Linked DNA regions of Diceros bicornis minor. The protein of the gene in region 1 purifies or fractionates together with the protein of each later gene. This does not show direct contact. Links are inferred from orthologs where the notes say so. Each region holds a gene or a part of one and is shown on either strand. Other genes may lie near its edges. The genes, in order: MRGBP, EPC2 and MBTD1.

The links.
Region 2: the proteins of MRGBP (region 1) and EPC2 purify together in Homo sapiens (co-immunoprecipitation; 4 studies listed by BioGRID and IntAct, counting the BioPlex papers as one, with this or other methods). This does not show direct contact. The link is inferred for Diceros bicornis minor from reciprocal best matches to the Homo sapiens genes MRGBP and EPC2.
Region 3: the proteins of MRGBP (region 1) and MBTD1 purify together in Homo sapiens (affinity purification with mass spectrometry; 4 studies listed by BioGRID and IntAct, counting the BioPlex papers as one, with this or other methods). This does not show direct contact. The link is inferred for Diceros bicornis minor from reciprocal best matches to the Homo sapiens genes MRGBP and MBTD1.

What each region holds. Positions count from the first base shown.
Region 1 is NC_080758.1:1,346,105-1,355,784, reverse strand, and holds the start of MRGBP (MRG/MORF4L-binding protein), read left to right. Parts: upstream 1-4,816; 5' UTR 4,817-4,831; coding exon 4,832-4,979; intron 4,980-6,016; coding exon 6,017-6,138; intron 6,139-8,070; coding exon 8,071-8,152; intron 8,153-8,445; coding exon 8,446-8,520; intron 8,521-9,147; coding exon 9,148-9,335; 3' UTR 9,336-9,680.
Region 2 is NC_080749.1:32,910,863-32,921,132, reverse strand, and holds the start of EPC2 (enhancer of polycomb homolog 2), read right to left. Parts: upstream 4,167-10,270; 5' UTR 3,899-4,166; coding exon 3,746-3,898; intron 1-3,745. UniProt on the Homo sapiens protein: May play a role in transcription or DNA repair.
Region 3 is NC_080757.1:35,215,949-35,225,756, reverse strand, and holds the start of MBTD1 (MBT domain-containing protein 1), read right to left. Parts: upstream 4,373-9,808; 5' UTR 4,201-4,372; coding exon 4,180-4,200; intron 3,553-4,179; exon of another isoform or gene 3,489-3,552; intron 1-3,488. Other genes in the region: UTP18 (U3 small nucleolar RNA-associated protein 18 homolog), read left to right, coding at 4,935-5,276, 6,871-6,983, 8,995-9,093. UniProt on the Homo sapiens protein: Chromatin reader component of the NuA4 histone acetyltransferase complex, a multiprotein complex involved in transcriptional activation of select genes principally by acetylation of nucleosomal histones H4 and H2A.

The DNA.
Region 1 (9,680 bases):
GCTGCGGTGGAATTCCACTTCCCTCCCAGAGACTCAGCCAGAGAGGAGGACGGTGTGACCAAGGGCATGTGGACACAGGGTGTGTGGACACAAGGGCATGTGAACACACAGGGCATGTTTGATCAAAGCCTTTCAAGCACTCCTTCCACTGGACCCAGCTGTTGTGACCAAGAACCAGGTGTCCCCTCGGAGGTGGGGGACAGGTGCCCTCTGGTTAGTGGTGGTTACCACCTTCGAGAGATGACATCAGCAACCCCCTTGGTCAGAACCCAGAGGTGGTCTGGGGAATGAGTCACACTGGCCAAACTCATACAAGACCGATGTATAAACCAGAAGGCTTGTTTGTTTGTTGACTGTGAGAGAAGTCCCTTTCCAGGGCCTAGGTGTTTCTCACCTAAGGTCCAAACCCCCTATTCCTGGGATCAAGGTACTTGGGAGGCCAAGTGCATCTCTTGAAGGAAATTTGGGTAACACAGGTGGGGGAGTTCATTCAGTCACAATGATCAAGGGAGTGCCCAGGTCAGTCAGTCAGTCAGTTCATCAACAAATGGTTATTGTCTACCTGCTGTGTGCCAGGCCTTGCCTGGGAGGTGGGGCCGGTGGTGCAAAACCAGAGCAGCCCTGACCCTGGTGCCAACTGATAGCCTGGCAAGGAAGGTGGACACCGAACGAGCTGTCACCAGTGATTTGTGATGACAGGCAGGTGACGGGGTGCCCCAAACACTCGATGAGCAGTAGGACCATGATGGACCAAACAGGACCCTCTTGTCTGGGGCGGTAGAGCCCCCCCGGGTGGCAACCTTGGACCTGAGAGTTGAAGTCTGGGCAGGAGAGAGGGGGCACAGGGGGAGAGAGGCATCTGTGGCCCCAGGGTCTGGAGGGTGGGTTGCCAGGGGGAGCCCAGGTGAGGATCCAGGGGAACCAGAGCAGGTCAGGCCGGGCAGGCCGGGGAGGGAGGTGGGTCCTGGAGGCGTGGGTCTGGAGGTCAGTTCCTGGCCCTGCCCTTGATCATGGGACCATGGCAAGGTTCCTCACCCCGGGAGTCTCCGCGGCATCTCCCTCAGAGAGGGGCCATGGGGGGAAATTCATGATGAGAGGAAATTCACAGAGCAGGTTCCCACCGAGCCTGGGTCTCCGTGTGGACGTGGGACCACCGGGGGTCCCACTGTCCCAGGTCTCCTCACCCCGGCACCTGCCTCATTCTTTGCTGACTTCTTTTATGGACAAGGAATATGCCATCTTTTCTCAATAAATAGATAATTTCACAATATATACAAATATCGAATCATTATGCTACACACATGGAACTAACAGAATGTTATGTCAATTATACCTCATAAAAATAATTAGATTTATTGTTTATAACGATTGCAAATAACATATCGCATGTCAGATTGTTTCATTTAATTCTTTGAATAGGTAACTCATTCATGTGGTTCAAAAACCCCAGCATATAAAAGACACAGGAAAAGGTCTCCTTGCACCCCTGCCCCGGCTGCCCACCCCGGGGGCCACAGTTATGTGTGTCCTACCTTCTAGGACGGATGGATGGATAGATGGATGGAGGGATGGATGGATGGATGGATGGATGGATAGGTGGACGGATGGACGGATGGACAGAGAGACAGACAGACAGATAGATATAGATAGATAGATGACAGATTTCTTTTCAAAGCTTTTTTGCTCTGTATCCATCGATTCTTACTTGTCTCTCCCAGGACTTACTTCCCTGAGCCTTCCTCCTCACCACACACACGCGCACACGCACACAGACACCCCTCCCCCCTCCATGTCCCTAACGTCACTTCACCTCTCTCCACGAGCCTCCCTGGGCGCTTTCTCTCTCGGCCAGCCCATAGCCGCACAGGGGGCACCCATCCAGCCCCTCCCTCTCTTTACACGTGCAGGGCAGGGGAGCCACCAGGTCTGCCGCCCACCCAGGACCTGGCACGACACTCGTCACGTTACTCTACTTGCTCGGTGCAGGTTACATCTGGCCCTGTGTCCCCAATGTCAGATGAAGAGGAAACAACGTCTTTTTTACAGGGGCCCTGCAGGTCTAGATGGCCCAGAACGTCCAGGGGAAGCCCTGGGTCCTAGCCGGCCGCTGTCAGCAAGTGCCCAGGCCTTCAAGGTCCCAGAGTGGGGATGCTCTGTGTGCCCAAGCCACACTCACTTTGTGTGCTGAGACGGGGAGCACGAGGCTCAGAGTCAGCCTCCCACCACACCCACGGCCTCTCTCTGGAGCTCTGCCGCCCCAGGAGCTGTCCTTGTCCCCAGGAAAGGTCCTCCTCTTCTCTCAGCTCATCCTGCACGATAAGATCCCCACCTTCCTACTCCGTGTGAGTCTGATCCCCAGACGATGGGCTGTGAGGAGAGGCACCATGTCCACGCCCTCTCCATCCCCCGTGCCAGGCAGCAGGAGGTGCTCAAGAGACCATTGCCGACCACTCCCCGGGCGACCGCCCCCTTCCTAGGCAGCCGTGCCTTCATCCCTGCATAACACCCACACCTGCCTTCAGAATCAGGGTGGGAAGAAACCGCTCATAACGGAGGAGTTGTCCTCAGCAGCTCTCTGTTCATCAGCTAAAGGGGCTTCCTTCAGCCTAGAGCCTCGTGATCCTCCAGATGGACACACACGATGTGCCCACACACATCATCTCTCTATTCAGCTGCATTTCACTTTTTAACCATTTTTCCCCATCTTATTTTGAAACCACTCATCCTAAAGAACTCCCTGGATGGCCCAGTCACCCATGCAGGATCACCAACACAGTCAAGGGTTGGGTATCGCTCTGAAGCCTATTGTCCGATTCACCAAAACCAAGAGGCTGACAGCACAGTCACAGTGGTGATCCGGAATGCCCATCTGGAAGCCCAGCCTCCTCTCTGGTTCCAGATTCCTTAATCTTGCCTAAGTCTGGCTCCAGCTGTGCTCACATATGTGTAAAAACAAGGACGAACGGTATTAGGCAAAGTCCTGGCAGGTGAGCACAGCGTTCAGCTCCATCCTGATTCTGAGCATGGAACCCACAGGCCGAGTTTGTTCCACATGCACTGGGGAAGCAAAGAAAGGAGGCAGCTCCTGGGAGGCTTCAAGTAAGAAAGACATGGAGAAGGTGGTTTCCCTTTGCCCAAATCATCCAACCTGTCTGCGTCAAGTCTGATCCCCAGATACACACTCCAGGATCTGCCTATAGCAAAAGGAACCAGGCATCCGGGGACCACAGCAGCTGGCCCAACACGGTTCTGACACACAGGACAGCGAGGACCAAGACGCAGCCCGGCCTCCTGAGCCTCCAGCACAGTGAGGAAAGGAAACGGGCACAGGCCACTCCGTGCAGGGCAGAAGAGGCCGAGGGCCCTGAGAGAGGCACAGAGAGGGGCCAAAGCTGCTCTGCGGGGCTCAGCGGCACCTTCCTGGAGGACCAGGCTCTCCAGACTGAAGACGGCTGGGATGGGGTGGGGATGAGCAGAGAGCGAACCTGGTCAGGGAGCAGGGACCCCACAGTGTCCAGGGAACAGTAAGGAGATTTATTATGCCGAGGGCCACCATCTGTTGAGCACTTTAGTGCGTGAGGGAGCCTGTGTTCAGTGGCTTCGAGCTGTGCTTCATTCCAGCCTTGCAGCAACCTGCTGAGGCAAGGGCCACTTGTGGGTCAGGGCAGAGGAGAGGAACACAGGCCAGAATCACAGAACGTCCAGCCACATCTCAGGTCCACATGACTGCTGGGGGCCCTGGGCCACTGCGGACCCCTCTCTAGGCCACCCATCCCGCCCCCCCCCCCCCCCCCGGTAGCATTGTGGGGACAGCCCCCTTCACAGATGGGAAGCCAGCTGGCCCCACTCTGAGGCCGTCCCAGGGGGTGAAGCTGACCAGAGCCAGCACCTGCTAAGGGGCAGCGCGCACCAGTGTGGCTCCAGCTGTGTACCAGGAAACCCGAGCGCGTGTCCGGGGCTGGCCGGGCCCGGGGCGCCCGGCAGACGGCGGGCAGGGCAGCCAGCCGGTCAGAACCCCTGGGGGTGCGCCGTGTGGTCCCCCTGCCCCGAGGAGGAAACTGCGGCCTAACGAGGCGCAGCGCCTGGCCCGGCCCACACAGCCAGCCCCCGCAGAGCCGGAAGGGGACCCGGAAGCCCGACCGGAGTCTACACCCGGCGGCAGGGAAGAGCGCTCTGCCCCCGGGTCCTGGGCGGACACCGCGTGGGCGGGTCCTGGCGGGAGGGGCGGGGCCTGGTGGGGAGGGGGCGGAGCCGGCGGCCTCTATTGGGTGCTGCTTTGAGCGCGTCACCAGACTGCCTCAGGCCCCGCCCCAGACCCTGCCGGCTCCCGCCCAGGCCCTGCCCCCACCGTCCCCGTTAACCCGCGAGGCCCCCCTGCGGGTCACCCCCGAGGACCGCGTCACGGCGGCGGGGCCCCTGTCGGCCAGGGCAATGGAAGCCCTGGGAGCCCACGCCCGCGGAATTGTCAGTTGCTCGTTCTTCTTCTCTTAACGCTCCACGGAGGTGTGATTTGCAATCCCGCCCTTCGAAGCGCTCAGCTCAGGGCGGCGTACCCAGAACTGTGCAGCCGCCGCCACGCCCTCATTTAGAGGCTTCGGTCCCCCGCCCCAAACGCGCTCCGTTTCCGCGATCCGCCCGTTCTGCCGGCGCTGCGCCGCGGGGCCGGGCCGCCAGGGGGCGCGGCGAGCCAGCCCTCAGCTGCGCCTGCGCCGACGCCGCGCGCGAGCCCGAGCGCGAGCCCGCCGAGAGCGCGCCCGCCCCCCGAGTGCGCCTGCGCGGAGCCGTGGCCGCGCCCGCTCCCGCCGGGGGCTCGTCGCTGGGCGGCCGGGCCATGGGGGAGGCCGAGGTGGGCGGCGGTGGCGCGGCGGGCGACAAGGGGCCGGGCGAGGCAGCCACCAGCCCGGCCGAGGAGACGGTGGTGTGGAGCCCCGAGGTGGAGGTGTGCCTCTTCCACGCCATGCTGGGCCACAAGCCTGTCGGTGAGCGGGGCGCCGCGGACCCGCGTGGGGGCGGGGCGGGCGGGCAACGGCCGGGGCGCGGGCGGGACGGGGCCTGTTGCACCCCCACCCCCGTCCCCCCCGCGGACCCTGTCCCTCCTGCACCCTCCACCCCTGTCCCCCACCCGCGGACCCTGCCCCTCCTGCACCCACCCCTGCCCCACCTGCACCCTCCACCCCTGTCCCCCACCCGCGGACCCTGCCCCTCCTGCACCCACCCCTGCCCCGCCTGCACCCTCCACCCCTGTCCCCCTCCCGCGGACCCTGCCCCTCCTGCACCCACCCCTGCCCCACCTGCACCCTCCACCCCTGTCCCCCACCCGCGGACCCTGCCCCTCCTGCACCCACCCCTGCCCCGCCTGCACCCTCCACCCCTGTCCCCCACCCGCGGACCCTGCCCCTCCTGCACCCACCCCTGCCCTGCCTGCACCCTCCACCCCTGTCCCCCACCCGCGGACCCTGCCCCTCCTGCACCCACCCCTGCCCCACCTGCACCCTCCACCCCTGTCCCCCACCCGCGGACCCTGCCCCTCCTGCACCCACCCCTGCCCCACCTGCACCCTCCACCCCTGTCCCCCTCCCGCGGACCCTGCCCCTCCTGCACCCCCGTGCCTGTCCCCTGCGCGAAACCTGCCCTGTCTGCACCCACTCACCCCTGTCCCCTCCTACACCCACCCTGTCCCTCCTGCACCCACCCACCCCTGCCCCTTCCGTCACCCATCCCTGCCCCATCTGCACCCACTCACCCCATCTCCTCCTACACCCACCCCTCCCCACTCCTACACCCACCCACCTGGCCACCCCTCCTGCACCCCCACCCTCTCCTAAACCCACTCCTCCTGTGCCCCACCCCCTGCCCCCCCTTTACCCCTCCCTCCTCCTACCCCCATCTCTGCACCGTCCTACACCCCCACCACCTCCTACACCTCACTGACCTCTGCCCCTTCCCCCCCACCTACTCCTCCTCTCTTACCTGCTGTGCTCCCCCCCCCCCACAAGCTGACCCCTTCCTCCTGTAGGTGTGAACCGGCACTTCCACATGATCTGTATCCGGGACAAGTTCAGCCAGAACATCGGTCGGCAGGTCCCGTCCAAGGTCATCTGGGACCACCTGAGCACCATGTATGACATGCAGGCCCTGGTGAGCTGACCCTTCCCTCCCCAGGCCTTCCAAGGCCAGAGCCCCGCCTTCCCCAGACGGATCTGGCGGCAGAGTTCCCCCTCCATGTCTCCTCCTCGAGGATGTGCTGGGCCCCTGTCCTCATGTCCTATGGACGTCCCCTGGGGGAGCACATTAACAAGATAGCTCAAAGTAGTTTTACAAAATACAGAAATCTAATAGCTGGTTACCCGTGCAGAACTGTCTCAAATTGGGTGGTTAGTGAAGGTCTCTCTAAGGAGGTAACTAGGAAGCTGAGGCCTGTGGGGGCCCCTTAGGCCACTGTCAGTCTTATGGGACGGCCCAGAGGCTCCAGGCAGGAAGGTGACCAGATGTAAGTCACATTAAGAGGAACAACGGTGAGCACCAGGCAGGCAGGGAGGTCTCATGGAACCCCCAGCCAGCTGTGTGGGCAGGTGAGCAAGTTACCTGGGTAACCAGGATGGCTGGAAGAGACAGGTGGTTGTTCTGGCAGAGGAACGGCAGGTGTCAAGGCCCCGTGGCAGCAGGAGTTGGTGGGTCAAGGAGCTTAGAGAGGCCAGAGCACCTGGAGAGTGGGGTGAGAGGGGGTTTCGGGACCAGAGAGGTGGGAACCTGTGCCATGGTTAGGGAAGGCTCTGTCTCCCCCTGGACTCGGGGCTGCACCTGCCCTCCCGGCTGAGACCTGCGTGCGCGTTGCTGAGGCGGAGAACGCTTGCCCCGCTCTTGCGTCCAGATCCTGCTGTGCCACTTCTTTCTGTTGGCTTTGGGCGAGTTGTTTGCGTCTCCTTGTCATAGCATAGAAAGGGGATAAAGATGACAGCTGTGACCTGGGACTGACCGCCCGGCCTGCAGCAAGTGCCCTGGAAACTCGAGCTGCTGTTGCTGCGTTGAAGACAAGCTGCTAAACTAAAGGAAGTCCTCCCGGAGCGGCCTCGCTCTTGTGAATTCCATGCCTGTCACGTGGGGTCACTGGGTCCCCAGGCACCCTCCGCGCCCTGACTCCAGGCTGGTGGGGGCTGGATGGATGCTGGACACAGATGAGTGCAGCAGGGTCCCTGTCCTGGGGGAGCCCCTGTCACATGGGAGACAGACAGACAGCTCTGAGCTGCAGACACTCGCTCAGAGGAGCCTGTAGCTGTGATGCCCAGCATGGGGCCCACGTGACACTCACGGAGCTTCAGGGTGCTGCTCATTGAGGACTGGGCAAGGCCTCGGGCCTGTCATCTCCTTAGACCTCATCACCACTATAGGGCTGCTGATGCCAAGTCATCCAGGGCCTTGTAAATATGAGTCCCTGGACCCCACCTACAAGGTGACCCGTGGGCCCAGGAGCCAGAGGGGCTCGCAAATGTTGGTCAGCCAGCTCAGCTTTCCCTTCATCCAGCAGTCTGTGTTTCCGGGGTCCCTGTCCCTCCTGGTATGTGTGACCTGCAGGACGGGTGGAACCGCATAAGCATTCAGGGTGCCTTGCTCCACTTTGCCTTCCTTACCTGGTTTCTGTGGAGGTGGCTTTCCCTGCCAGCAGCCTGGCTCCTGCCACGTGGATGGGCACCGGAGGCACCATGGCCTTCCCTCAGGGCTGTCACCACCCTCTGATCGCACTCTTGGGGTGAGGGAGCCATCAGTGGGGAGCCTGGCCCTGTGACAGCTGCCCCAGCCTCATCTCAGGGGACTCCTGCCGGTCCCCCAAAACTGCTTGCACTGCAGTTTTTGCTTCCTCTGAGTCTGTGTGAAAAGCCCAGCCCAGTAGACCCCACGAGCAGAAAGAACAAAGTCTTCACCTGCTTGGCGCCCACCCACTGCAGCCCTCTAAGACAGCTGTGAGCGTTCGCTGGCTGCTCCTGAATTGGCTCTTACACGTTTTTAGTGACTTGCTAAAATCACATTTTCTTCGTTTCTTAAAAAAAAATAAAACACCCTATTTGCCATCAGCACGAGTCTGAGATTCTTCCATTCCCGAATCCAGAGAGGAACTTCGTCCTTCCAGAAGAGATCATTCAAGAAGTCCGAGAAGGTGAGACTCAGGTGGGGTCAGATTTGGGAATTAGAGAAGATGGGACATGGTGTCAGGGTGAAGGTCATGACCTCAGGGAGAAGCGAGGGTCGCTGATGTGATGCTCCGTCCACCTGGATTGGGGAGGCCTGGGGAGCCTCCTGGGATCAGGGAGGACTTTGTTCAAGAACAGTCAGCATCTTTAAAAGCGGCCTGGCAGCAGCGAGGTCCATACACCTCCCAAGTCAGGAGCAGCCCCAGCCTGAGCCACCCCCAGGTTGGCTTTCGGTAACCACCAGCTGTGTCCCCCACAGGAAAAGTGATCATTGAAGAGGAAATGAAAGAGGAGATGAAGGAGGATGTGGACCCCCATAACGGGGCCGACGACGGTAAGTGTGGAGCACGCCCCACCTCTCCCCTGAGGCCCGGGACACGGCACCCCACCCCCTGCAAGGCCTCCCTGCAGGGCGCAGCCGCATGTCCCCAGCCTGTATTTCAAGTCCACTTGTAGCCATTGCCGCTCTGCCTGGTTCAGCAGTTGTGAAGGCAGCTTCCGTCTGCCCAGGCGGGAGCCTCGGCGTGCGTGGAGGTCTTGCACGTGGCCAGTACCGTGAAGAAACCACAGGGCAACCTCGGGCACTGGTGTCCAGTCAGGTGGACAGTGTGCAGTGCAGGGGGCCCGACTGGAGTCACACGTGTGTCTGTCGTCTTGGAACAGGACAAACCCCGAATAGCAAAGACGCGCAGGGCCCAAGCCTCGCTCCGCCTTGTAGGATGGGCGTGCGTGGATGGCCGTGGCAGGGTCCTGCAGCTGAGCGTGTGCTCCCCGAGGCCCGCGTGGTAGGCACATCCTCAGGAGGACCAGGCACTCTTCAGGCCACGCGGGCACCCCCAGCTCTGGAGAAGCCTTTTGGGTCAGAGTGTCACGTGTGTAGATGCAGAGTCTTTTAACTCAACAGGAAGATGAAATAAAATTCTGGATATTCTATTTTCAGCCAAATGATTTTGTCTCCCAGTTTTTTCATCTTCAGGAAGCTTGGGGAAATCCACAGAAAAATCCAGCAAAGACAAAGACAAGAACTCCTCAGACTTGGGGTCCAGAGAAGGGGCGGACAAGCGGAAGCGCAGCCGGGTCGCTGACAAAGTCCTGACCGCCAACAGCAACCCCTCCAGCCCCAGCTCCGCCAAGCGGCGCCGAACGTAGATGCTCCCCGGGCGCGGAGGAGGGCGGACGGGCCGGCGGACAGGCAGGAGCCGTGCTCACCAGGCAGGCGGCTGGTCAGACGCCGGAGGCCCCGCACTGTCCGCTCAGACCATCTGGGCTCTGATGGATCCACGAGACCAGGATGGCCCCGCGCTCTCAGGTGTCGAGAGCGGTGAGTGGGGAGTCGGGCTCCATCTTCTCTGGACGTCCACACGTGGCTTCCTGGGACGTGGATCAGCTCCACCTCTGCTGAGGCGCTGGGGGCGGGTAGGAGACCCGGCATGGCAGGCAGTAGAGCACCGTTCCCCTCCGTCCTCTGAGGAGCGCTGGCCTTCCCGGGCGACT
Region 2 (10,270 bases), on another chromosome or scaffold:
GAACTATCAGTGGAGAGGGACTGACCTGCAAAGTAACACAAGAGAACTTTTTGGGCGTTTGAATTGCGGCTGTGTTTCCATGGATGCATGCATTTGTCAAATCTCATCGAACTCTATGATTTAAATGGGTATGTTTTATTGCATGTAAATTATATCTCAAAGAAGTTGGATTTTAAGAAGAATTAAATGAGGGCCGGCCCCGTGGCTTAGCGGTTAAGTGTGTGCGCTCTGCTGCTGGCAGCCCGGGTTTGGACCCCGGGCGCGCACTGACGCATGCTTCTCCGCCCATGCTGAGGCCGCGTCCCACATACAGCAACTAGAAGGATGTACAACTATGACATACAACTATCTACTGGGGCTTTGGGGGAAAAAATAAATAAATAAATAAAATTATTTAAAAAAAAAAGGATTAAATGAAATAATATAGGTAAAGCGCCTAGCACCTGGGGCGTAAGAAGTATTCAAAAAAATGGTAAATATTATTAAAAACATCAACTACCAATACACAACACTCATGGGAAGGTGGCAGAATCACTGATCACCTGATCTTTCTGGTTTAGATTCTAAATAAACATTAGTTTACAGTATCTGACCTAGACTAAGTGGCATCAGGAGCACTACCGAGACCAAGTTATGGGGAAGATGCCAACTGGCAGAACTGAGGCTAAAGACAATGAAAATAAGGAAAGGGAATAAAAGAAGTAAAAGATGCCTGCATGTTCAAAAGGAAAGAGAGAGCTAAAAGAATGATATGGTCAGCAATGATAGAGTGCTACCAATGCCAAAGAACACCTAGATTACCTCATCTAGGCATTGTCAGAACGTAACTCAAACCTGAGTCAATGACAGTATAAACAAAGACTAATGATAGTCCAATGGCTACACAGAGACAGTCCTTAATTTTATGGGGGGGGGGAGTGGGAAGGGGGCAGTGGACCAATGAAGGTGTTAAAGCCATGTCAAAGGATTCTGCCAACCAAGCAGGAAAGGGGTCATATTGTGGACAGTTTAGAAATGCTGAGCAACAATTATAAATCCATAAATGAAGGGTTTTGTTGTTGTTTTTACAAGTCTATGTTTACAAAAAAAAAATACTTAGAAAGGGGGTCAACCCGGTGGCATAGCGGTTCAGTTCACACGCTCTGCATCGGCGGCCTGGGGTTCCCGGGTTCGGATCCCTGGCATGGACCTAGGCACCACTTATCAAGCCATGCTGTGGCGGCGTCCCATATTAAGTAGAGGAAGATGGGCATGGATGTTAGCCCAGGGTCAACCTTCCTCAGCAAAAAAAAAAAAAAAGAGGATTGGCAACAGATGTTAGCTTAGGGCTAATCTTCCTCAAAAAAAAAAAAAAAAACTTATAAAGGTAACTAGTTAGAACATGTTGATAATGGAAATTAAACTGAAATACAACTCTAGTGAAACACAAAATATTTCTGAAATTTATGATATTTTACTGCTGCTTAGAACTGTTTATCAAAGCAAAACATTTTTCTTTAAATGAGCAAATAATTCTGCTTAATAACAGAAGTTCTGTAATTATGACTGGGAGAATTGAATTGGCTGTCACTCACGAAAGCACAAGTCTTCTGACTTACATGTTAATTTAAAAAAGAAAAAGAAAAAACTAACACCCTAATTGGACATTCTGGGAAGCAAAAGACTTATAAATCTTAACTGTCAGGAATTCTTTAGTTTTGTTTTGATTTTAAGAACCTCCACTTGAACATTAAAGAGGCAGACAGGACAAAAAGTCAGAAGTCCTAGGTTTCAATTCTAGTTCTACCAGAATTTGGATTTCTTCCTAAAATTGAGCAGTTGAAGCAGGCTACTTAAAATAATCCAACTTTAGCACTCATGCTCTAGATTGAAAATCACAAGTTTTACTGAAAAAGTCAATAGTACAAAATTGTGATGACGTTAAGCATTTATTTTTAATACATCACTAAAAAAAACTAAACTGCAAATTTTCTTCCTAAATTCAGATAAAATATCAAGATCTACGTGACAAACTAAGGACCTAAAGCAATAATTAAGTATAGCTAATCATTGTTTGCAAAACCTAATACATCGTCCAGGGGCTAACTGTTCATTCTAGAACAAGTTTCTTGATTCAAATTCTTCCCAAAACAAAATAATAGGATCCAAGTAATTACATATATTATTGATACTTTAAGACTCATAAGCCACTTTTCTTTTGGGGTCGAAACCCAGAAAATAACTAACAGAAATTTAACATTTTGGAATCCAAACCGGTGGTTTTTAAAGTTTAATTCAATTAATTCTTGTACATACTACAACTTTCTTAATTATCTTTCCCATGGAAAAATGAGCTAAGTTAGAAATAATTTTTACTTAAAAAACAAAAAGAATTCTCAGGAAGTACTTATCTCTAAACCTTAAGGATAAACGTCGAGTTTTCATCTTATTTATTTAAAAAAAGTTGAACGTTGAATATTCATTCTGATACTACCGCCATATTCATTTTCTACTGAAAGTGCAAAACATTCAAGCAATCAAACACTAAAGAGAAATGTGATTAAATCACAGCAAAGATTAGTAATAACAGGGTAATACAATGAGGTCAGAACTCGAGCAGCCAATCAGAGGCATAAAAGCATTTCCTGCAATATTAACAGTTAAAAGAGAAAACCAATCACAGAAACCTCGAGCTTTCTTTTGACAGTCACAGAAGCAAGAGAACCAATCCACGCACACCCGGGGTTGACAATAAGGCGGGACCGCAGGTTCATTGAAGAAATTCTGGAGGGTGCAGTTACTATGAACTTCGCACGCAAGTAACACCACTCCAGAGTCATAAACACTGTCATGCCAGATGAAATCCAACCGTATGCAAAATTCAACCAATCAGGGAGGAAAAAAGCAACATTTTTGCCAAAAAGCGCTGTACTATTAAAAATGCAACTGTCAATTTACATGCACTAGATCTTCAACTTCTAAAAGACCCCCCCCTCCGATGACAATCACCGGAGACGCGGCACGGGGATAGCGCAGCGCCGGCAGCTCGTTGCTGAGCATCCCCGCTTCCTTCCTAACGCTGCGCACTGAGCTGGCGCATCCCGGTGAGGCAGGCAGGCAGAGCCGTCCCGCTCGGGGCCGCGGAGCCGGCCGGTCAGCAGCTCTCTAACGCTACATGCCGCTGGACAGTCGCGGCCCCCGCCTCCCCCGCCGCAGTGCTGCACCGCCTCTCCCCGCTGCACCACCGCGGGCCAGGGAGCGAGGATTACCTTGCTAGGAGAAAGATGACGGGTGTTTTGAAAGCGCTTTACTTTCCATAAGTCATTTCAAAGAGAACCCAGTGCAAAACTAAATTTTAAGTGAGGGGGAAAAAAAAATCTTCCCTAATCAAAAGATCCCTCGCCCATTAATCAACCCCGCGCCGAATGAGGGGGGAAAAAAAAAGGTAAACAGAGGCCATACGCCAAGTGCGGCCAGAACATCCCCTGCGCCATTCCCGGCCGCCGCTTACGGCAAGGCCCCCTTACGGCAGCGTAAGCAGCGCTGCGAGCTAATCACAACACTGGGACGCAACAACATGGCGGCCGCGGGCGGGCGCTGCGCCGGCCGAGAGGGTTTACGCTACTCCGCCGGCGTAGAGTCCCATGCGTTGGAGCGGCAGCGGCGCCCTCCAGCGAGCGTAAAGCGCTCTGTGAATGGCGAGGCCCGACTGACAAAAGGGAGGGGGGAGGAGGGAAGGGGGGGTAATAAACACTCGAGTCCCTACCGATTCCTCCTCCTTCTCCATCCCGGTGGGCATCTGGGGCACGGCCCGGTTGATGGAGACGCAGTCGTTGAGATCAGGCATGTCCTTGCCGCGGTAGATAGGCAGCGGTTTGGCGGCGTCCAGCGCCCGCGCTCGGAAGGAGAGTTTACTCATTGTCTCCCCGCCTTACAGGAACAGCCCGGGCGGCGGCGGCGGGGCGGGCGGGGAGGGGGGGAGGACTCCCGCCGCCTCCTCCACCTCCTTCCTCAGTGCAGCGCGGCCGGCCCGCTCCTCCTCCTCCTCCTCACTGCCCCCGGCCACAGCATGGGCGCCCACCCCGCCCGAAAACAGCCCCCCGCCGCCCGCGGCCGCTTCCACACACTAGATCCGCCGCTCGCCCGCCCGATCCGCTCCCTGCGCCATGGCCAACATGGCGGACATTACCACAGCGGCGGCGAGCGATCCCGGCAGCCCGCGCGAGAGCGCGCCCCCGCCGCGGGGACGCGCCTCGCCCTCGCCCTCCCTCCCTCCCTCCTTCCTCTCCCTTCCCCTCCCTCGCCTGCCCACCCACTCTCTCCGCGGCGCGGCCGGCCCGCGGGAGCGTGCTCAGCCTCCGGCCGCTCTGGGGCACAAGGGGGCGGCGGCCGCGGCGGCTTTCCGCTCGCCGGCCGGCGCTCTCGCCGTGTGGCAGGTGCCAGGTGCGCAAGTTAACCCGCGCCCCCGAGCGTGCGCCTCTGTCTCCGCGGCCGCGACAGCCCTCTCGCTGGGCGCCCGGGAGGAAGGCGCCGAGCAGCGCGTGTGTGCAGAAGTGTGTGAGCGGGAAAGGGAGACGTCAACCAGGGCCACAGTAGCCGCCACCGAGCCTGCACTTATAAAGCGCTTATCTCCAAGGCGCCGCGAGCGCCGGCTAATTCGCATCCTCCAATTTGCGCGTCCCCGGGACGTGCGGAAGGTCCATGCCGTCTGCCCACTCAGAGGGGCGCAGACCTGCCGCGTCTCGCCCGCCCCGAAAACGCGCACTCAGAGCCAGCCCTCTTTCCCGCACCCCCTCTTCACTACCTAACCGAAAGAGCTCTCCAAGGTAAGGCATCCTCGCCTTCGCGGGGAGGATGCTAATGGCAGCAGTGAGGGTTCATGTTTGAGGCTGCCAGACGCAACAAGTGCCCTTGAACCTGTCCCCCAAACTTCATAGAGTTATTTAGTGGATGGTGGATACTGACTTCAAAAATATTAGCCTTCCTAAGAGTTAAACTTATAAAATTTAACCAAGGCAGCACACATTTCCAAAGTGGCAGATGTGCGTAAAACATTGAGTGCCGTGGAAGACTCAAAGAAGTTTGAGATCAAGTTCCTGCCTTCATGGAGCGTTCACCTTATTGGGATGACAGGACGGTTGGAAAGATGGATAGTAGTAAGAGATGTAAATAGTTGAAGAACAAGGCAACTGGAAAGATAAATGATAGCAGAAGTAAGTACTTGAAGAAAACTATACAAGAAAGATGACACAGGCACTAGAACATGATTAATTACCAAATGAGTTGTACTGGCAATAATTGCCAGGAAAGTTCAGAGAAAGGAGGCGTTACTTTAGCCTGAGCTGGTTAGAGAAAGTTCTAAAGAGAAGGGAAAATCAAGTTGACTCAAATAAGTACCAGGTATTGTTGACATCAACCTCATTTAACCAAGTTTCTTGGTTAGTCTTTAAGCATTACAGTTTTCCTACAAAATCCCTGGAAGAGTGTAACTCATGTTACCATTTCTAATAATTGATTAATGTTCTGCCTAGCTCTGAGAAAAGTAGATGGTTTCTGAAGTCCAGAAGTCAAAAAAATTGATTCCTGCAGTCATTTCTGTATGACATCAAAACTCTCTTCCTCCATTACCTCCTCTTTCTCATCCACGTCTTCCCTTCTCCCTTTTTCCTCCTCTTCCTCCTCCCTTTTCTCTCCACCTCCCGCTTTGAAGGCAAAATGATGAATATGGACTTCATGGCAGTGTCTAAATAGTCTAACTGTTTGGCCCAGCAAGACTTCCAGCATTGTTTAGCCGGGCTTGAGTGTTTTCCATCCACTTTGTTGTTGGAAACAATGGAGATGCTGTGACTCACTTCTTGTAAGCAATACCTTCCTCAAGCTTATAGGCATGTCCTGCTCTGAGCGATACCCTCTGGAGCAGTTCCAGTTCTCTGCAAGGGAGAACAAGACGTTGTTGGGAAGGGGTCAGCACTGGATTCAAGCCTGAAAGGGAGGAGGTGTGGGGAAGCGATGTTTGAAGAAATGAGTCATCCAGGGCTTTTATTTGAGTGCCCAGCACTTCTCAGGCTCAGAAGGGATAGCTTTCTTCTATTCCCTGTATTTATTGTTACTCTGTCTCAAGAAAGGAAGTATTGAATATTGAAAATATACCAGTCTCTATAGTGGTACTTTATATATATTATCTCAATTAATTGCAGTCCACTTAATTCTCATTATAACCCTATGAGGAAATATTATAATTTTACTAATAAGGAAACTAAGGCTCAGATAATTTGCCAAGTTTCAACACTAATAACTCACAGAACTGGGTTCAAATCCAGGTCTAGCCTGACTCCAAAACTCTTGTTTTCTCCACATTGCCAAGCTGCTGTCCAAGCTCTTCGGTTTATTGACCATTCAACATTCTAAAGTTGCTGATCCAAATTACTGAGACTTTTTAACCAATAGCCAATAGAGTGCATAACCCAGAGCCTAGAGATGCGATAGCCTCAAGGAGGGCAGGAACTACATCTGCTCCCTTATTCACTGTATCCCTAGTTCTGTGCCTCACACATAGCAGGCACCTAATATATATCTGTTGACTGATATTCCCTAGAGAAATTCAGTGACACTGACCCCATTCCACTCCAGCTTGGAGTTCACCTACCTTATTGGCCTGTCACCTGACCTAGCCATTGCTGCCCATACTCGCTCTTATCATGGCCTACATTTCTCTCCAGCTTCCTACCTTTGGGCATAGGAATTTTAGAACCAATTAAAGCAATTCAAAGAAATTTTTTTGAAACCTGAAATTCTATTAGAGGAACAGGTTTTAACTGGAGTAGTTGTTGTTTTGTTGTTCTTTTTCTTTGACCATGTAACAGATTTCTTCCCCAAATCTCCACTTTCCTCTTGCCCTGTAGGTAATGATTATAGCTGGGAATAAAACAGTTTGAGGCAAATAACACAATACGCTTTTTAAGTGAGACACAGCCTGTGTTTTCTTGGCTTCCGATTCAGTGCCCAAACCAGAATGCCTCTGTTTCACATTTGGAAAGTAGCTTTTATTTGTATACAAATATTATTTTTCATAAAGTTTATTTCTAATCTATTTGTTGAATACCCATATACTTGTTTGTGCTAAAAACAGAAAATATCTTTTTAACTTTTGAAGTAGATCCTGTTATAAAATATCTTTATCAAAACCTGTTTCAAATGATTGTGCAGCCTAATAGCCTATTTTAATTTCCACATACAATGCACTGAGTACAGTCATTCCCAAATCTGTCCACTTCAAATATGCTCTGGACCAATTCCAAATGACATGCATTTAGCCAAGCAAGTGTAGTGTAACAACACCCAAGAATTAAAAATAGTTTTAAAGCCATATCAAAAATAAAACCACTGTCTACATGTAGTCTAAATTAGAATAAAGATCAAGTAAGTGTAAGAATTGGGATTATATTCCAGTTTCCATTTCCCCATATTACAGTCAGGGCAGGCAGCTTCCAAATAATAAATTACTTTTTGAAAGGAAATTTAATACTAGTAAACACAGTTGTTATTCAGTTATTTCAGAGTTTTGTAAATGTCACATTCTTTCTAATTGGCTCCCTATTTCGGCAAACCCAATTGAAAGTTAATTGGGTTGGTATGTGGACTGCATCCCCACCCCTCCCCCTTATGTTCCCAGGAATGAGCCCAGTACCAATAAAGCTTCATTGTTTTCCATATGTAATCTGAATGTGGGGTCTGCTTTCATTACAATCAACTGGAATCAGCCCCCTGGTTCCAGTGCCCTTTACTGAGGCAACTCTGAATCTTTGAGACATAGGGAGGGAGACTGCACTCAGTGGTGACATGCCAAACATCTACTTCCACCTTTATATTTACCGTAGTGGGAAAACCAGACGCTAAATAAAAATTTGTGGCTATGGCTCGGTCTCTTAGCAGCATCGCTCCTCTCAGACCTGGTTGGAATCACAGGGTGCCACCTTGTGTATAAGCTGACGATTTACTTCCCAGTTCCACAAAGGATCCAGATAGGCTCAAAAATAATCAGCCCGAAAACTCTGTATTTTATTAACCAAGGAAAAAATGAGACAGATGTAATTGAAGGAAACAGATTTGCAAACACACAGCTCCAGAGGGTCCACGACACTCAATTTTGAATCACGCTGACAGCCTGTCTCATTTGTTTCCCCATTCTGACCGGAAAACACACCCAATCCCCACACATGGAATAGATTGACACCACTCACTCAAGCTTTTGCGTGGGGATACCAGAAATAAGTAAAGCTCTTGTGACAGAGCTAATGAATCTGACTAGGACAATTATCTGTGTCCAGACAGCCAGTGAACTACGTAGATTTAATTTCAGGACTTTGGATTTCTGAGAGTCACTAGCTTCCATCGAATATGATTCTACTTATTTTAATAAAGTGCTGAATTTGAAACAAGGAAACAATTGTTGGAGCAAGGCCACAGGAGGTAAAATAGGATCCTTTCCAATCCAGCTTCCTTGCCCTTGAGAAAATCCACACTTCTCTAAATTCAGCACAGCTGCCATTCAGCTGCAGCCACTGTTACATTCATGAAACTGGCTGGACCTTTCATATTATTTTCAGTAGGGAGTTGGAGTGGAGAGCCTGGGGATTTGGGGCTACAGGTGCACATCTCCTGTTGGTTTAGGTCTCCTAGAACATCTTTTCCTCTCAATTGCCTTCCCTGGCCTCCTCCACCGGCGCATTCTTTTCTCCTTAAGCATCTCTGAAAGGTAACTTGGAAGGTGGTTTCTCTCTCTCTGTGAAGGCATTTCAGTCCCACTGATGTGCTGGCACATCTCAGGCAGCTAAAGCAGGCTCAGAGCACCGAGCCCACTGGGGTCCGAAATGTTAGCTAAAGGGAGTCCGATGTTAGGAACCTTGGGTTGCTATTCTAAATGTGGGTCCCCTCACCTGTTTTTTATCTCTCCCACCATCAAAGAACTACTGTTTATAAGCACAGATTTGTGAATGGAATACACAGTTGGAATCTTAAATTTTAAAAAATTGGCAAATTGATTTAGTAACAGCCATGCTTTATTGATCTTATCTTTGTTGTTCCCAAGAACAAAATAGCCTGTTTCCTAAGAAAAGTTTCTGGTATTAGCATGTTGAGAGCTCCTAAACAAAAACCTCTGGAATTAGCATACTGAAAGCCCCCTAAACTGCAGAGTGACTTGTTAGGAGGCAGAAAGGAAAGCAACTTCATGTCTCCAAATTGGAAAACAGGTCTACTTGTCTTTCATCAGCTATTAAAGATGACTTTGGCAGAGGAAGAAACAGAAACCATTAAAATAAAATACACTAATTACCTAGATATTTACTGACTCACCCACACCCTTCACCTTGTTTTGGAAAGGATTTCAGGTGACTTTTGAGAGTAGGTAAAATGTGTGAGGATAGCATTTGGGCTCTAAATTTTCTAGTGATGTGAAATTTCGTAGTCATGTGAAAATAGGAAACCTTGTCAGCTTCACAGTTCACAATGTTGATTAGATAAATTGATTGCTCAGGAGATTTACAGTTGTTCCTGGTCCTAATCATAATATCCAAGAGTTCATAAATAGAGCAAGTAGGTGGTATGACAGACACCTCAACAGTATCCTTACAATAGACACAAAAGAGGCATCCTAAGGCTGTTTCTAGTAGTGACCCTCCATATAAAATGATGGCATCATATGCAATCCAGCACAAACAATTCTGCAAGGGTTAGAATGGACCTGGATGTCTGAGGCCATGAGCCCCACCCCATGAAGATCCAGGAGTATGAATGGTCTCCATGGCCCCCGAGCAGTCCTCCCTGAATAGTGTTTTACTCTCTACTGTCTCCTGATAAACTGTGTGGCTGTGAGCTCAAAATTGTGCTCTGTTAAAATTGCTGAAGTGTGGCTCTTCTAAATGCCCCATTAAGGGCAGACCATATGCCTTAAATAACTGTGTTGTGAAGAATAGAGTTAATGTCCTTCTCTGGAAAGAAAGGAGCTTAACAAGGACCAGTGCCTGACTAGAAAGCTGTCTGTCCTGCTCTTGCAGTGAGCTAAGGGTGTATCCACTGGCAGAGCCAAGAGGTGATTTTGTCTTGGCATAAACAAGGTATGCATTGCTATCTCAGATTAGATAGCATGGGGAGAGGGGATGGAGAAAGGGTGTTCTTGCACACTGCATCCACATGAAGGGTGTCCTCTAGTTGGTGGCAATAGCTGTTGTTTGCCAGCTTTGTTTTCTAGTTCCAACTCTGCTTCCAGGGCTTATGTTGTGCCTTTCCTTAG
Region 3 (9,808 bases), on another chromosome or scaffold:
AGATTTAATATGCATGCCCTATGACTAGACTGTAAACGATGACCAAATAGTTCGGAGGACAAGAAATCACTAAATTAACTAATGAACACTGTATACAACCAGCTCTCTACGAAGAGAAGTAGGAATTAGAAAATACAGTGAAAAGGGAAAAAGAAAAAGGGATTCTGGGACGATATCTTAACATTTTAATTACCATTTACAGCAGCTTACATTTTCTTATACAGTGGTCATCACACCTGACTGGAGGGACCTTGGGATGGAGGCAAGGCTCATGTTTGGCCTATATTTTAGATGAGGAAAATGAAGCTCCAAGAGATGAGCCAACTTGCCCAAGATCACAGGTCAGGAGTTGGCAGAGCTAGAGCCTGGCCAGTTTGCCAACTCTGTCCAGAGCTCATTTCTACTACACCAAATTTTAAGTTATCAATACTAAAGTGAGAACCAGAGGGGAGCCCAGAAATCTTCTAATGCAGTGTTTCCCTAACCAATCTGATAAAATACTTTCCAGGGCCTGCATTAAAAACATAGATTCCCAGAGGCAGCCCTGATGGCCTAGTGGTTAAAGTTCGGTGCAGCCTGGGTTTGGTTCACAAGGGTGGAACCACACCACTCGTTTGTCAGTAGCCATGCTGTGGTGGTGGCTCACACAGAAGAACTAGAAGGACTTACAACTAGAATATACAACTATGTACTGGGGCTCTGGGGAAAAACAAAACACAAAAAAAGAACACAACACAGATTCCCAGGCCCCACTGCAGACCTCTGAATGGTAACCTCCAGGGGAAAGGTTTGTATTTTTACAAGCGCCCCAGGAGGAGACTCTAGCGATTAGTTAAGCTTGGAAAATACCTGTTCTCTATCTGCATGTCCAATACGGCAGATACGTGGCTACTGAAATTCACACTGATTAAATCAATGATAATAATAATAGAAAAATTGAGTTCCTCAGTCAACACTAGCTACCTTTTAAGCGCTCAATAGCCACATGTGGCTACTGGCTACCTTACTGGACAGCACAATGATGGACATTTCCATCATTGCAGGAAGTTCTACTGGACAATGCTGATTCTAGACCAAGCCTTCAACTGTGAGGAAGAGAAAACTGAGGCACAGGATCTTGTCCAACAAGTGCCAGGAAGCTAGTTAGTGGCAGAACTGAAACTCTATACTAGTCTCCCAGTGCCCCTCTTTCTATATCACTCCATTCCACCTCAATTCAGGGTGTATTCAAATGGAATTATTTCCTTTCCACTCTTGCTTATGGGTTCCAGCAAAGCAAGAAGAGACATTCTAAATTTATGCGGAAAAAATTCTAAAAAAAAAAGGTTTATTAAAAAATCATGATTAAATCTAAACCAATCTGCCATCTCGGTATAAAATTAAAGGTAACCTTGGACAGTTAAGAATACCCTGGTGTTAGCAGGCATATCTTAGCTTGTTTTAACTATTTTAAGTCCTTCCTCTTCTTTGTCCTGATGTTTTTATCTTTCTCTTGGATTTGAAATCCTGAAACTAATGATACATTTTTAACTGGTTTACCTTAAAACTATAAATGTGAAAAGGTTAAATCTTATTTAGCAAACATTTTAAGGATGAAAAATAGAGAAACAAAGAGCAACCAAAAGGATAGTGACTTGTCTAATTTTAGAATGTGGTCACTCAAACTACTGAGTACTTGTGGCTCATAGTAATTTAGTGGTTTAGTATTTATGACATTAATATGCTGTTTTCACGTCTAAGCTATAGTTTTACCTTTTTTTCACTACTATGTTATATTCTAAAACAACTTAAATTGCTTTAATTTCCAGTGTAACTGAAGGATTAGAAGCATTTGAACATCTAGGACAGTTTAGACACTAATCAGGTCAACATATAACCAGCCATAAAAACTATAACACTGTCTTCTTTAAAAATAAAACCAGTTGTTCCTGTCTAGTACCTTTAGAATGCAAATGTCTCCAAAGTCAGTCAACTTAAGTCATGACAGTTCATGTTTAAAGTAAGCAGGAAAATAACTTGGAACTCATTAATTACAGCTTTAAAGACAGAATTATACAGCTCTATCAGTTTTTTCAGTATCCAGTATTCATTTCCACGTTACATTCCAGTGACTAGATTTAGAGGAAATATTATAAGTCAAAGTTTGTATAAAATTAAAAATTGGATGTTAAAAAACATGGTCCAACATAACATACTTATGAACAGATACTTATTCAAGATAGTTTTTGCCATAATTTGCAAGGCACCAGAAGCCTTGAGGATGGGGTTTTATATAAATAGAAGCTACTTGTTATTCAGAGGAGGTGGTGCAAAAAAAGACAGCTATTTTCTTTCTAAACACTCATTGGTGTTGAGGTAAACAAACAGGGAAAAAAAAAAATACAGCCTAAGCACACTAGAGCAGAGCAACAGTCTCTAAGTCATAAACGGGAGAGAGAAAAAAAGGCCTCTGCTCTAACATTTTAAACAGGGGACCGGGTGTTTAAACTGAAATTTATTCTCTGGCTTTTAGACCAGATTCATGACTTCTACATTTTATCTGTTATGTCTTGACTCCCACTTTACCATATTAGGAAGAAGAAACTATGTGCCCCCAAGATTCTTATACCAATAAAACTTTTGGAGGCAACGTAGCTCACCAAATGAAGGAGAACATTAGAAAAACACTAAGTGACAATAGCAAGAACCAAACTATCTCAACAACTGAGTGATAAATACTGGTGTTACTAATGTAAGGAGCATGAAAAACATTGCAAACTCTAAGCAACTACTAAAGTGTTACAAAAATTCCAAATCTCCTAAGAGTTAAAAAAAAAAAAGAAAAGAAAAGAAAAGAAAGAAACGAAAGCATTGTGAAGGAGGGGCCCTGAGAAGGAAGTCCAGCTTGAAAGGAACACATAGGTCAAGAAGGGGAAGGAGGAGCACTTCTACTGACCGTCCCTCTACCAGGACATGCTTCTAACAGCTTCAGTACTATCCCCAAGAGGCAATTTTAGGCATCCTTAGGGAGCGATTTAGGCAACAGGCAAATGTGCTTTCAGACACAAGAACTATACAGATGATGCTGAAATTTCTAACCTGGAAAACATGCACTAGCGAGAGAAAACAGCCACGAAATCCCAGACCGTAATTCCCAAGCTTCCTGTTGAAAAATAGCGGTTCTCAGACATATAAGCCACCACATTTGAAACTGACCCAGCAAAGTTTTCAGCTGGCCCTCACTATCTCTCAAATCCTCCTTCCTCCACTTCCCTGCTGTTCTTTCCTGGCACACAAAATATAGGCCAACGAGCAGTGGGTGGGTGAGGAGGATGTGAGAGAAAATTTGAGAAGTAAAAAACGGAGCAACTTAACAAGCACATGAATGAGACTGAAGGGTCTAATAAGGGCAGACAAACAACGAGAACAACTGAAAAACGCACTGGGTTTCCTGGGCAGCAGTGAAAGCTCAGTGTTTGTAGGGTTTAAGCAGAGGCCAGACTACCTACCACTTGTCAGAGAGGCTGCAGAGGGGACGGCTGCTTTGGGTGACCTCTAATGTCTCTTCCGACTCTGAAATGTTAGGATTCTTATTTCACACAAGAGAACGCAACGGTCATAGAAGCCCACCGACTTAGAACCCTGTTAAATAAGCGGCCCAGGCGGCTGCTTCCTAAACACCACTCCCACCTCTCCCTCCCACATCTGCCCACCCCGCCCCCTTTCAAGATTTCCACCTCCACGTGCAAAATGCCTCGCAGCACTCGCCCCAAAGCGGACAGGCGCCTTCCCCTGCAAAGCACCAAAACTATGACCCCCTGGGGGAAGTGAGAACACTCTCCCACCCTGGGTGGCAAAAAAGGAAAAGTCTCAAATCCAGCCTTTCCCCCCCGAGCCAGAGCTGAAGGGGTAGGGGAGGCGGGACGCAGAGAAAAACTTTCTTCTAAAATTTTTCTTCCAGAGAGTGGAGGGGGTTAGAGAGAACCCCGACGAGTCCGGGGCTGAAAGGGTGGGGGGAGGGGAACCCCTGAATCGTTTAACGGCCGGTAGGGGGAGGGGGGCTCCGGAGATGGAGGGGGCGTGAGATGGAGAAGCAGGCCTGGGAGCGGGGTCAGGGAGCTGCAGGGGTTCCTGGGGGTCGGGAGCTGCAGGCGTCCCCCCCACCTGGCACACAAAGCGGCTGCCGCGCTCGGCTCTCACCAGATCCTTTGTGTTTTCCATCAGGGCCTCATGGGTAGGGGTTGTCCGTGCTCCCCGGGCCAGCGGCGCCCCCTCCCCGAGCTGGGGGCAGGCGCCTCTCCCCGGGACTACGGCGACTACAGGGGGCCCCCGGTTGGGCCCAGACCGGTGGCGGCTGCGGCAGCCCCCGGATTTCCCCCCTTTAACTCGGGTGGCCCCAGGATATCAACAACATTAGCATAGCCCTCCCTCCCCAGCGCGCCTGCGCCGTGACCCGCGCCCCGATTGGCCCACTTCCCTACATACCCTCCTCTCTCTCTTCCAGCGTGGGACCCTCTGCAGGCTCCGTACTCCAAGGGCCGTACCAAGACGAAGGGGGGGGAAAGGCAATTGGGGCTCGTGTTAAGTCGACTGGTTAACAAGTCAGGAGGAGGAGCAGAAGTTTCGCGCGATCATCTCAGTTTATACTCTGGCTTGCTTGTGCTCCTTTCAATCAGCTGCAGCTGCGACGATGTGTTGGAAAAAATTTTCCACTCCGCTCACGCCGCTTCCCCCTCCACCCGGAAGATTGGTCCTCCCGGAGGAACTCCCATACGGGGAGGGGCACGTGAGGAGAGTGGGCGTTACGTAGGGAAGAGAGTGCTGGTCACGTGGTAGCAGGCTGCGCAGGCTCCTTCCGGCCCCCCGGGGCCTCAGCCGCCGCGGACAGGGAGGCGCCTCGGCGCACGCGCAGTGAGGTTCCACGTGAGCTCCTGCGTTTCTTCTCAAACCCAACGATGCCGCCGGAACGGAGGAGCCGAACGAGACTGGACCGAAGAACCGGAGCGAGGCCGGACCGGAAGACCCGAATGAGGCCGGACCGCAGAACCGGAGCGGGGCCAGGCGGGCCTCCCCGAAAGGCTGCTCCTTCATCCCAGCGGAAACCGCCGGCTCGGCCGAGCGCAGCGGCCGCTGCGATGGCAGTCGCGGCGGCGGAGGAGGAGAGACGGCTCCGGCAGCGGAACCGCCTGACGCTGGAGGAGGACAAGCCGGCCGTGGAGCGGTGCCTGGAGGAGCTGGTCTTCGGCGACGTCGAGGACGACGAGGACGCGCTGCTGCGGCGTCTGCGAGGCCCGCGGGTGAGGGAGGCCGCGGCGCGCGGGCTGGGCGCGCTCGGGCGGGGCGCGCGGTGGGCGGCGAGCCTCCGGGGGCGGAGTCTGGGCGACCTGCGGCGCCGGGGAGCCTCAGGTGGGAGGGAGCCCGAGAACGCGGGCGCCGGGGATGCCAGAGTGAGTCTCCGGAGGGCGGGGACCGCGCCTTTCTCCGCCCCCGGGTGAGCCGCCGCGCCTGGTATGCAGCAGGCGCTCAACACGTCTTTGTTTCGCGAACTGTGGTCGTGAGCATCTTTCGCGTTCAGCTCCCCCATCCTTACTCCGAAGGGTTTCTTCCCTCGTGGTTGTTCGATCACCTGCATCAATATCTTGCCGTGATTCGGGAGTTCCGCTTCATTTGTAGAATCGGAATTTGCGGGCGCGGGCCTGGGAATCTGCGTTTTAACCATCTCCCCAAGTCTCGCCAGCTTTTGAGAATGACCGTGTGCTTATTTGTCTATTCAACGAATATTTGTGAGCCCGCTGGGTGCCAGATACTTTTTTTGGCGATGAAAATCCTGCGTAATTGATTATAATTTTTCTACTCTTTCTATCACCCCTTGTATCTATACGTGGCTTTTCTTCCAAGGTAGGGAGTCCCAGGCATTGTTCTAGGCACTGGAGGAGACACAGTAATAGACCAAAATCCCTGCTTATGTACTAGTTGCAAAGGCAGAAGATAAAGGAGATAAGTAAAAATCATTATGTCAGTGGCAAGTGCTTAAGACAGAAAGAAAGCATTGGGGAAAGGGAGCTAAGTGTGTGTTGAGGAGGCTTGTGAAATTTCATGTAGGGTGGTCAGGCAAAGCCTCGCTGAGAATGACTCAGTTTGGTAAATGAAGGCGGACCTAGCAAGTATCAACTGATTGCCAGAACCTCCTTTGGTGCTTATGGGAGAAGCTGCAGAAATCTAGTTGGGAGATAGAGAAGAACTACTGGACTGTGTGACAGTTTCCTAGTCAGGAAAACGGTCTATGAGAGGTGGAATTTGTTGGGTTTTGAAGGATCGTAGGTCTTTAATAGAGTAGGTAGAAATCATCGTGTGGTTTTGGGAAAGATCAAGCATGTTTCAGGGGATGTTCTGTGGTCTGGATTTAGATTTGATTGTACAGTATAAAGTTTCTTAAGGAGGTAGGGGGTCAAGAACTTAAGAAAAATGGAGATGTGTGTCTAAGAATATGAAATCCTAATTAATTATGACATTCAATCATGTTATTTTGTCTTGGATGCTAGTTTGCCTCTGGTCCCGTAATTTCTGCAGTTGTGGATTTTTTCCTGCTCCTTCATCTGTCTGCTTACCTTTTGTTGTTTTTGTCTTACTTGGTGTTTTCCTTTGAGCATGTTGACATTCTCTCCCTGACTGTTCCCTCTTACCTCGCCTGTCCAGCGTGTGGTGACATTCTCTAGTCTCCTCATTTTGTCTTCTGCCTCCAGCATTTGCTGTGGTGGCATTCTGTCCCATTATTTCATGAGAGGGCTGTAAAAAACAGAGCATTCTGTAAGCTATCTTAACTACAAAATGTGTCTGTCTGCCACCACAGGATATGAAAAACAGTGCTTGAGGGGGTTTTGTCTTCTCTAGGTTGAAGTACAGGAAGACTCAGGTGACTCGGAAGTGGAGAATGAAGCAAAAGATAATTTTCCACCTCAGAAGAAGCCGGTTTGGGTGGATGAAGAAGATGAAGATGAGGAAATGTAAGTTGCATAATTTTTCTTCCAGAATCCCTGTGGGTACTTTAAAAGTTATTTTGCAGGTTTTAAAAAAGTTCTTTTTAAGAATATGCGATTATGTGAAGATTTGAAAAATACTGGAAAGTATGGAAAAGTCATTCATAATCCCACCGCTGAGGTAGAACCACTGATAGCATGTTGGCATACTTCTCTTCCCGTCTTTTCAGTGCGGTATAGAATAGCTAGGACAGCAGTGTTTGCTGTCAGACCTGAGTTTGCCTCCCAATTTGGCCAGTTCCTAACTGACTGTGGGCATGTTTAGAATCTCTGTTTTCTTGTTTGTAAAATAGAGGTAATAATAGTGACTATGTCAGAAGGCTCTTGAGATTAAATGAAATAGTGTATGTAGAGCTCTTTGCACGATGCCTGAAACCGAGAAAAGGCTAAAAAAAAGTTAGCTAGCGCACACAGTATGTACTTTAATAGATGAGAATCTACTGTATTGCAAGCATTTCTCCTGCTTTTAAAAAAAAGCCTCTATCAACATTTTTAAATGAGTGTATTATTGTCCATTGTATGAATTAACCATAATTTATATAGCTGTTGTTGGACAGATGTTCTGATATTTCTCTTTAATAAATTAATGATGAGATAAACATCTTTATGCATAAACCTTTTTCCACTTTTCTAATTATTTCTTTAAGAAAGATTCTTTGAGGTGGAAATACTTAATCAAAGAGCACAGACATTTTTCAGGCTCTTGATAAATACTGCCAGATTGACCATGAGGTTCTACCAGTTGACCTTCCCACTGAAAGGTTTGCCTTTTCACTCCGTTCTTATAAGCAATGATTTATCTTTCTTCAGACTTTGTCGGTTTAAGGGGTGGGAGATAGCTACCTAATTTGTGTTGAGAAAACATTTTTGTTATTAGTCATTGGTATTTATTAAAAGTATTCTCTATTATGTCTTTGATTATTGGAGACTGTTACTTTTTATTTATTTTATTTTTTAAGTAAAATTGTATGTATTTAAGGTGTACAACATGATTTGCTCTACATATACATAGTGAAATTATTATTACAGCAAGCTAATTAACATATCTATCTCCTCACATAGTTACTATTTTTATTTGTGGTTAGAGCACCTGAAATCTACTTTCTTAGCAGATTTCCAGTATACAATATAGTATTAACTATAGTCATGCTGCTGTACATTAGATTTCTAGACTTATTCATCCTACATAACTGCAACTTTGTATCCTTTGACCGACATCTCCCCATTTCCCCCACCTCCCTGCCCCTGGTAACCACCATTCTACTTTCTGCTTCTGTGTAGTCTACTTTTTTTAGATTCCGTATATAAGTGAGGTCATGCAGTATCTTTCTTCTGTGTCTGTCTTATTTCACTTAGCATAATGTCCTCCAGATTCATCCATGTTGTCAAAAATGGCAGGATGAGACTGTTTCTTAATGATTGTCATATATCAGCTCCCTACATATTGAGAATTTCAAACCTTTATCTGTCAAATTTATTGCAGGTTTTCTCCCAGCTTTCTGTTTGCCTTTTAATTTTGTTTTTAATATTTGACATTCAGAATATTTACGTTTTTATATAGTCAAATTTATGAATCTTTTCTTTTTTTTTGCTGTTTTTAACAGTAAAAAATCCTTCATCAGAGAAAGACAAGTGTTTGCCTGTATTTTTCCTTCATAGTATTTTAAGATTTGGTTGTTATGTATTTAACTCTTTATTTTGCTTGGAATTTATTTTGGTGAATGGCATAAGCTGTGTCTAGATAAGTCATTATGAATTTGAAATGTAAGCTGTTCAAAGGGTAAACTAGATGATCTGAAATATTGGAGACTGCTTTTTGTTTTGGAAAGATTGGAGAATATGCATGTGAGATGTTCCACATCTTACAAATCTTGACCTTTATTGTTCAATTAAATGTTTTCCCAAAATATTAAAGGCACCAACTATTTACGTTGATTCTTCAAAAATCATTTAAAGCATGCTGTTCTGTTTGTTATAGGGTTGACATGGTGAACAATCGTTTTCGGAAAGATATGATGAAAAATGCCAGTGAAAGTAAACTTTCAAAAGAGGAACTTCAGAAGAGACTTAAAGAAGAGTAAGTGTCGTTTATCATGTGATTTAACCAAGAGATATTTATAACAGTAGTTTATTTCGATTCACTCAGTCTTTGGCTGTAACAGCTTCTTGGGTAGTGAGAGTTCCCTTTTGAAACAGTAAGAGCATTGCTGTTGGAAGAAATGATTAAATTTTAGTATTTTGTGGGGAGAGGGAATACAACAAGTACCAAAAAAATTTGGAAAGAACTAGTAATCCCACCACCCAAATATAATCAATGATAATATTGCTTACTTGCTGATTCATTTATATATGGTAGACCATCTCTTTCCATAACTTCTAGGCTCTTTTAGTTGAACAGAACTAGGAAATATGATGTATATTTTAAAATAATGATCTATTGATATTTCCAGTTCAAACTTAAAGATCTTTAAAAATATTTTAAAATATTTTTGTTTTTATATCGACAATGTTTTTTAATATTCTTAGAGGTTCATTGCATTATCGCTATTTTTTTAAAGTAGGTTTATTGAGGTATAAGTTACACACAGTGAAATTCACCCTTTTTAAGTCTCATTCTATGAATTTTGTTAAACACATATAGTCGTGTAAGCACCACAACAATTAAGATGTGGAATCAAAGGGCCAGGCCAGTGGGCGTAGTGGTTAAGTTCATGTGCTCTGCTTCGGTGGCCTGAGGTTCGCAGGTTCAGATTCCAGGTGCGGACCTACGCACCGCTCATCAAGCCATACTC